Nothobranchius furzeri: one gene and its partner. The protein of the gene in region 2 interacts with the protein of the main gene of each other region in a biochemical or structural test. Links are inferred from orthologs where the notes say so. Each region holds a gene or a part of one and is shown on either strand. Other genes may lie near its edges. The genes, in order: pdk1 and rps6kb1b.

Evidence for each region.
Region 1: the proteins of rps6kb1b (region 2) and pdk1 form a complex in vitro, tested with the Homo sapiens proteins (2 studies listed by BioGRID and IntAct, with this or other methods). The link is inferred for Nothobranchius furzeri from reciprocal best matches to the Homo sapiens genes RPS6KB1 and PDK1.

The regions. Positions count from the first base shown.
Region 1 is NC_091754.1:20,878,565-20,882,809, reverse strand, and holds the start of pdk1 (pyruvate dehydrogenase (acetyl-transferring) kinase isozyme 1, mitochondrial), read right to left. Parts: upstream 3,040-4,245; 5' UTR 2,811-3,039; coding exon 2,702-2,810; intron 165-2,701; coding exon 23-164; intron 1-22. Other genes in the region: nup62l (nucleoporin 62 like), read left to right, coding at 3,800-4,245. UniProt on the Homo sapiens protein: Kinase that plays a key role in regulation of glucose and fatty acid metabolism and homeostasis via phosphorylation of the pyruvate dehydrogenase subunits PDHA1 and PDHA2.
Region 2 is NC_091753.1:29,214,245-29,218,653, reverse strand, and holds the start of rps6kb1b (ribosomal protein S6 kinase beta-1), read right to left. Parts: upstream 2,852-4,409; 5' UTR 2,743-2,851; coding exon 2,674-2,742; intron 1,558-2,673; coding exon 1,514-1,557; intron 1,430-1,513; coding exon 1,309-1,429; intron 1,179-1,308; coding exon 1,110-1,178; intron 50-1,109; coding exon 1-49. UniProt on the Homo sapiens protein: Serine/threonine-protein kinase that acts downstream of mTOR signaling in response to growth factors and nutrients to promote cell proliferation, cell growth and cell cycle progression.

The DNA of each region.
Region 1 (4,245 bases), on a different chromosome or scaffold from region 2:
GATAAAAGCAGATTCAGCATACCAGCTCTGGACCAGACCCACAGACGGCGTCCTCAGCAAGTTGTCGGGCAGCAAATTGATCTCCTTCATGATGTTGGCCAGCCTCACAGGTAACTCCTGTCGGAGGAAGGCAAAGGATGTTTTCTCACATGCGTTTTCTGAGCCTGAATGGAAAAAGAAACACAAGACAGCAATTTGGATTTCACTTCTAATTACACCTTGTTATGTGAGCCTGGATGGGTAAATAACCAACTTAAGATCTCAGTGACCCAGAAGGAAAACCTGCTCAGCATCACAGCAGGGGGTCCAACTACTTAATATAGCTGTATAATAGCAAAGATGAATTTACTGACAACATAGGGCTGGGCGATATGGCCTAAAATCACTATTACAATACATTGAGGAATTATTCTTTATAACAATGAATGGACAATAACTACATGAATGTGCAGAAACAAAAGTTGTCCACTAGATGGGGCTGTCACATTCATTTCTTGAGTCACGTTGTCATGTGGTCCAGCTTCTTAAAGGGACATGAACCTCGCCAAACATCTTTTTTGATTATCGAATTTATTGCCATGGAAAAATAAAATTCATATTGGTTAGTCAGAAATTTCAATAAGATACATTTTTATTTATCACCCAGCCCTATGACAACACATATCTAATTACACCAGAGATCTGATCATCCTGGGTTAGGGTCTATTGATGTCCTAATTATGAAGTTTTCCAACAAAAGGTACCATGCTAATGATGTTAACCGAGTAGGAATGTAAGAAAGTATCGATAATGTGAAATATCGCGATATTTTGTGTCATGACCCTTAATTGACATGTAAAAGCTGTATGCAAACATTTAATATATATTTTAGTGTGGTGCAATTCAAACTGACTGCTAGGTGGAAGGCAGAAGTTTATACTGCCTTTATTCTGATAGAATAAGGGATGTTTCTCAATGTCAATGTGCCGGGCCTCGCATGGCGATGTCTTACGAGGCCAGGCGTCCTAGATCAAAGAAAACAGTCAAATGGAACACTTACTTCACGTGACATGTATACTGGAAATTTGCCCCCAAAGTAGATGCTGGCTACTGAGCCGCCATCCTTTTGAAAATAACACGCTGCATTCTGGGAATTTTTTGACCAAGGCTAGGCTATTCAATTTTATTTATATAGCGCCAAATCTCAAGGCACTTCACATAATAAACATTCCAATCCAGGTCAGTTCATCCAATCAGAAAAAATGTTTCCTATATAAGGAAACCAGCAAATTGCATCAAGTTAGCAATCCTCATACTAAGCAAGCATATAGTGACAGTGGAGAGGAAAACTCCCTTTTAACAGGAAGAAACCTCCAGAGGATCCTGGCTCAGTATAAGCAGCCATCCACCACGACTCACTGGGGATCAAGAAGACAGAACACACACACACACACACACACACACACACCAAGCATGGTTGCATTGTGATTTCTTAGTAAATATTCTATTTGGTGAAAGATAAACGTTATTGTACTTATCCTAGTGAATCTATAATTAAATGGGTAAACTAGCAGTAGCACATCCAACGTCAAGGAAAGCAAAAAGTTATTATCAGGAGAGGGAGAATGTTTTAGTGGTTAGCAGCAGTGTGCTAGACGATGGCCCCATCCATGAGGCCACCACAGCTCAGCAGAACATCATTGTAGCTTCTTCTGGGGAGAAAAACACTTAGAGAAAAATTAAAGTTAATAGCTGAAATTGCAGAAAATAATACAGTTAAAGAGCAGATTGTAGAAGAAAGTAGTAGAGTGTGAAAAGTGGTCAGTGTATCCTCCACCAGTCTAAGCCTATAGCAGCATAACTACAGAGATAACTCAGGATAACCTAGCCTTTTTAGATGGAGGCATGTTGGAGGCAGGGCAAGGGAGAGCCGTCTTTACCGACTGTACACTCCACCTACCTCTACTCCCCCACTTGTCCAGATGTAGGCTAACATCAGATTTTAACCATAGGCCCTATCAAATAAAAATGTTTTAAGCCTAGTCTTAAAAGTAGACAAGGTGTCTGCCTCACGGACTAAAGCTGGGAGCTGGTTCCACAGGAGAGGAGCCTGATAACTAAAAGATCTGCCTCCTATCCTAATTTTAGATATTCTGGGAACCACCAGTAAAGAAGGCACCTCCCGTGTATTCTTGCTTAGCTAGCTAAACAGCTAACAAACGAAGAACAGACACCTCGGTAGCACATGATGATTGGAACACGCCTTGGCGGTACCTGATTACGTATCTCCTAGGCAACCGGGGCAGGACCAAGACATCAAGAAACACCGAAGAGTTTGAGATAAAACTGGGTGTTAATTGGCAAGTATCTAGCAATATAATATGTTGCTATACAGGAGAGACGATACGATATATTGAGATACTAAAAGGCTGACTATTTTTGCAATTTTTAAGTGAATTTAACTGGGAAAACTCAGACAATTCCAGTGTTTTCGCAAGATATCGGTCTGTCAGACTGAAGGAGGAAGAAACTGCTGCCACCTAGCTGTCAGTGTTTGATCTGCACCACACAAAAGAAATACAAGAAATGTTGGCATGTAAATTCTCAATAATAGATACTCTGCTTTTAAATATCGATTCTGTATCATAAACCGAAATGTTGTGATATTTCAGTGCATTGAATTATTTTTACATCCCTAGAGTGTTATATGAATACATCTCACCAAAATCCAGAAACTGCTTCATTGAAAGAGGGGAAGGAGAAAATCTGGAGTAATAATCGATATCCTTCCCTACTGACACGCTGTTCCTCAGAAACCTCAGAAGCCTCATGTTGACCGGGTTTACTAGTTATTCGGAGGAAGCAGGTGGCTTCCGAGCCACACTTAGTGTTATTTAACGACACTAGCTCGTTGAGCAAACCCAGCAGCTCGCAAACACGCTGTTAAATTTATTATTGTTCAGTTACGTTGCTAATTGATGCAGGTTCAGCATCCATAACTACGGCCGCGCTGCAATGTTTGTGTATCGTCCGGTGTGTACTTCAAGTGATCGCTGCTAAATCCACCGAAGCAGAAAAGTCAACAAGCTAATTCAAAGAGTTACTACAAAGTTCAAGAGGATTCATCGTTGTTGCCTGGCGTATACCGACACGAAGTTCTGTTGAAAGGCTGTATTTAAAATTATTGTCAATATTGACGGTAAATTGCGAAAATAAAGACGTATAAATGCACGATAATGTCCTAAATAATGTCTTTTATTCACGTGTGTATGAAAGAAGAAGAGTTGATAGTGCTCGTTATTCTGTAACTATCTTGCCTTTGCATACTCTTTGTAAAGGCCAAACTATATATTTTTCCGAATGTTTGTCTATCAGGCAGTCAAATGAGCCTATCATGTACCTCAAATCTAATCATAACTCTGATTGGATAAAACAGTTGCCAAATAAATTAATAGGCGGAATTATGTCCCTGCAGACAAAATTCAGGGCATACGAGAATGCCGCGTCTCGGGTGTCGTCACTTCCTTTAGGTGGCCAGATAATTGCCTGTTAAAGGAAATGTCGGTTCACAGGCCCACGTTTTTAGCAATGTGTTATTGATTTTGGCTCTATATTCCTCGGAAGGTAACGTTGATTAGCGTGTGATTTCATTCATTTCCTGCGTATCTGTGCAAAGTTACTTAAATAGACGCAGTGGGGATTTTAGGAACTTCAGTCGGAGGAGTTGGTCATAGCGACCCGCCAAAAGCCACAAGATTCGGCAAGGAAGTGGCCGTTTTAAACGACACGTAACGGCTGTGTTTAACTTCTTGTGAGGATAATGAGTGGCGGATTCAACTTCGGACAGAATGCAGGGTTCGCCTTTGGAGCGCAGAAGACCACTGCCGCTGCCCCCAACGCGGGTTTTACATTAACCAGCTCAGCAGCTCCGGGAGGGGGGTTCGCCTTTGGAAATGCCAACCAGACCAACCCCACCGCCTCTTTCAGCTTTGGCACCCCAGCCAAGAGTTCCGCAGGCGGCACGGGGTTGTCTTTTAGCACGCCTACTGCCTCGTTTGCTCTTGCTACCCCTCAGACAACACCGGCAGCAACAGGGTTGAGTCTGGGCTCTGCAGCAACTCCGGCTGCCGGGTCAGGGTTCACCTTAGGCAGCCTGCTAACCTCGCAGCCCCCAGCTGCTGCACCAGCAGTAGCAACAGTGGCACCAAGCGGGGGAGGATTCACCTTCGGTGCTCCCACACAAGTCCAGCCTCAGTCAGTGGTAGC
Region 2 (4,409 bases):
TCTCTGCCTTGGTGTGAGCCGTGTCCTTGGCATTGCGAACAATCATAGCCTGGCGATCAACACCAAAGTAGAGATTAAAAAAAAACATTAGTTCATAGGAACACACGGACTGCTGCCCTGGAAGATCTTTAGCTAAACTCTTAGAAATGAAAAGTCTTCTGTGTTTTCTATTTGTTTAGAATTTATTACCTGAACTGAGAAACAAGTTTTTTTATTGTTGTATATTTTATTTGTTATAGCTCAACAAGCCAGACACAACGGTGAAGGTGGAGTTTAATCGACATTTCTATTTTAGTGCAGGCATATGTGCTGCAACCCAAATGCTTTTCTCTAACGACGGGGTTTCTCTCTCCGGCAGGCTGTTGCAGTCCCGTAACATTTTCAAATATTCTTGTATTCAAATTATTACCATTATGCCTATTTTGGACTTATCCGAGTACAAACAACCTTTAAATGATTACTGCCTTTTTAAAATGAATAAATCACATTTTTGTGGCCTGCGACAGCTTTAAACCTGACAATCCTCTTCTAATCTAGAAAAGTTTCAGCGCCTGCCCAGAATATTCTGCCTCTTCAGCTTTCAGCACCGCTGTTGATCGTATTTCTGTTTACTAAACACTTCGATCAGACAGCTGACTAGATGTCTGTCAACAATAAAAAGGTCTCAGAACGGAGTGTTTAGAGAAGTGAAAGCCTCTGATTCCCGCAGCTCTGGAACCACAGAATAATCCCATGGATGATGAACGTCGTTTCTCTAAGAAGAAACACATCTTAAAGCTGGCTTCAGAAACTGAGATTCTCCATAAATACAAGTCTGATTTTTTTACAGACACCTTTATATTTTACATTCATATATATAATTTCAGCAGATCCTGTGAGTTAATCGGGCCAACGTGGCTTCAGATGTTGGGCTGGAGCTGAAAGAGCCGAGGCGGCAGCAGAGAGGTGCAGATAGCGATCTATCAGCTAACCGTGAAGCCTAACCCTACCGCCGGCTTCAGCAGCAGCAGGAATGTCAGGATTTTTTTAAAGTATGTAAAATGATCATATGACACAAACTGACAAACGCTGGTTTCCAACAACAAAAATCCAACGTGACTTTTAAATACCTTTTTTAAAACTTTCATGGCAAATATCTTGCCCGATGCAGCTCCGACAACTTTGCGAACTTGGAAAACCTGAACGACAAGAAATGAAAGGCATGTTTCGAATAATCGTAATCAAGAAAACCCCTGGTCAGGTGACCAAGGCAAAAAAAATCCACCCACATCTTTCCCAGGAGTACTACGTGTTGAGTTTTTGTCCTACCTTTCCATAACCACCTTTCCCGAGAACCCGCAGCAGCTCAAAGCACTCCGGTCTGATGTTCTCCGCCCCCTGGTTGACGTTGTCCTCGGAGATCTCAATCTTCTCACAGCCGTCCATGTCGCTGCAGCGGAAATAAGGTTCAGGGTGCAGCGCTGAGTCTCGTTTTTTAACTTTGTTTGGTTGTAAAATGTTCAAAAAAACTTACAACTCAAATCCAGCGCACTGCTCCATAATGTCACTGATTTCAATCTGGCAGGGGGAGAAATAATTCAGGATCATGATATTTTACATTATTTTCTAAACAAGAATCCCAATAAGTCTTATTTCGGATATTTTGTGTTAACGTTTGGACCTTTAATTGACTTTTTTGTTTATCATTACTATTTATATAACTCAACAACTGAGAAAGTATTTATCTCAAAAAGATAAATATCCTCTGGTGACTCTGCAGCCTTCAAATAAAACATTGGTTGCTCAAATTTAATTTTATTTAGAGTTGAATTTAATTTAAAATTTAAAACATTAAGTTCAAGAAAATGCCAATTTTATAAACATATTGTGATAAAGTCACTTATAATAAATGTATTATTAGATTGTAATTTGCATGGACTGCTTTTTTGTGTGTACACCTACACCTTGTAGGTCTACGCTACTTAAACAAAACTAAAATTATTTCAGTTCAAAATGATTTGCTTTTAATTAGCGACTTGGAATATTTTTAGCTTTTTATACAGAAAATATCTGCATTGTTTCACTTTTTTGTCCAAATATATTCACATTACTAAGTAAAATCACCAGGAATCAAAGACTAATCAGCAAAAGGGAACATTTAATGTGTTTGCTGAACCGACTTCTCTATGTAGTGAGGGTTTTGTCCTGTTTGGGACATGCAGATGTACAAAAACATGCCTTGAACCAGCGCCATCTATGCTCCGTGACTCTGCGGTAGCTCTGCCTTTTCTATCACTGTTTGAACAGAAGCAAACGGGCAGCCAGCCTCTCAGCCCACACAGTCCCACTCTGTCACATCTTGCCAAAATAAACTGTTGCACCCGGAGCCGCATTTATCACCGCAGCACCTTTGGCCAAGTAAGGATGGTTTTCACAACTCCAGCATGACAGCGATGGATTAAAAACGTGACAGCGTCAACAGCTTATCGCGGAGTCGTGTTTGTTACCAAAGAAACACAGAAGAAAAGGCAATTCTGTCACGATTAAGGGTAACTCTCACTTTGCTGTGCGGAGGCCCGACCGTTCTGGCTGCACGCAGGAACAGGCCTGCGGTGGCTCCTGCCAAGCTACCATGCTAGCTAGCTAGCTACCGTGTGTCAAGAGTTTCTGCCGTGACAGCTTCCGTAAAAGTACCTCCTCGTTCTCATCATCGGAGACATTCTCCTCCGGCTGGTCCAAATCAATGTCAAACACTCCAGCCATGGCAGCGAGTCGCTCGAATCGCTCTGTCACAGACTGCAGGAACAGCAGGCGTCCCCCACCTCATGGACAAACATGCACGGCCACCATAACCGGCTACTATAGTGAGCATGCGCACTGCGGCGCTCACAACAAAGGGGCGGGAACTTGTTTTATTGTCTCAAGAACAGAAACTGTTACAAATAAAAGCACAAAAAAATCATTTCTGAGTATACAACAAGTGGATGTGTTTCTATTTGCTTTCTCTGGATGTTTTAATTCTCATTCTAAGACGGCACAAGATTAGCTTGGTAATTTCTTACATTCTTACAGACTTTCATAGGTCATTCAGCTGACCACAGGCAGTGAAAAATGTTAAGCGCCTTCTTTTAGTTTATGATTAGATGCTAAAATATAATAGTTTTCATTTGACAGAGGTTTAAAAACACAAAATTGGTTGTACATATATACAAGAGGGGATACCTGTGCACCATTTCTAGGAACTAGAAGTTACCCAAATCACAGCTGAGCTTCAGGCGCAGGTTTTAGTCTTATTTCCTGATATTTGGACATCTGGCCTTGGATTGGCTTACAGCAACGTGCCTCTACCACTTGCATGTGGATGTTTATCTCTACAAACAACACAGGCCTGGAGGAGCTTCTTCAATGTGAAGTTGATCGTGCTAATAATTAGCTTCTACTAGTTGAGATAGATGTCTTCTACTGATTCTCGGACATTAAATCTACAACATCCCCATCGTAAGTCAAGATGGGCGAGTCCATGAATGTTAAATGACACTGTGACGTGGATCAGTCAGGATTTTCAAATCCTAGAGTTTCACCGTCTGTTACCAGAAACTTATGCAGGAGATGGAGTAGAAGACTATTTTCATGTTCATCCTGCATGAAAACATCAGAGTGACCGATTATAATCAGAAATAATCATTAAAGGGATACTAGGCAGTTTAGCTTGATTTAAGCACCCCCTAGTGTCAGTTTGTAGAAGCGAAACCAAAACTCTCCTCGGTGTGCGTTCGCCTTTTTAATACCCGAATCTAACAGCTGAAACATCTCCCAGCGTTCCCAAGTGTCTAGAGGAGTGAATCATCACTAAATTAAACTCATCCGCTGTGTTCATGATCTAAAACAGGCAGGAAATGTACTGAAGCCAGATAGCAACGGCAGGTAGGTCAGCTCAAAAAGCCCCAACAGACCGGACCTGCAACTGTGAAGTTGCAAGTGGAATATTCTGGTCTCAGGGGCGATAGGGGTTGGGTGACCTTTCATTAACCATGTAAAGTGTCATTTTAGTACATACTGGCTCAAGAAAATGATATAAAAATATTAAAATGTTGCAAAGTATCCCTTTAAAAATGGGTTGTTTGTGTCCCACACTTATGCCAATTTTCAATTTTTTTATTGACTATAAACAAGGAGGGGAATTGATGCCCTCCAGAGCCGACAAACTGGAACTACACTTGGGTCTACCAGTTTCAGAAAGATTGAATCTGCCCTAAAATTAATGTATTGCTCTCCAAATGATTCTACACATTGAAGCACACTGGAGCTTTTGAATCACCTTAATGTGGCAAGATGGAGAAACGAGGGCCCGGACGGGATCCGATCCCCAGACTCCCGGGTGACAGTCGCATGCGCTAACCAGTCAGCCAATGGGAAATCCCTCTGGCAAA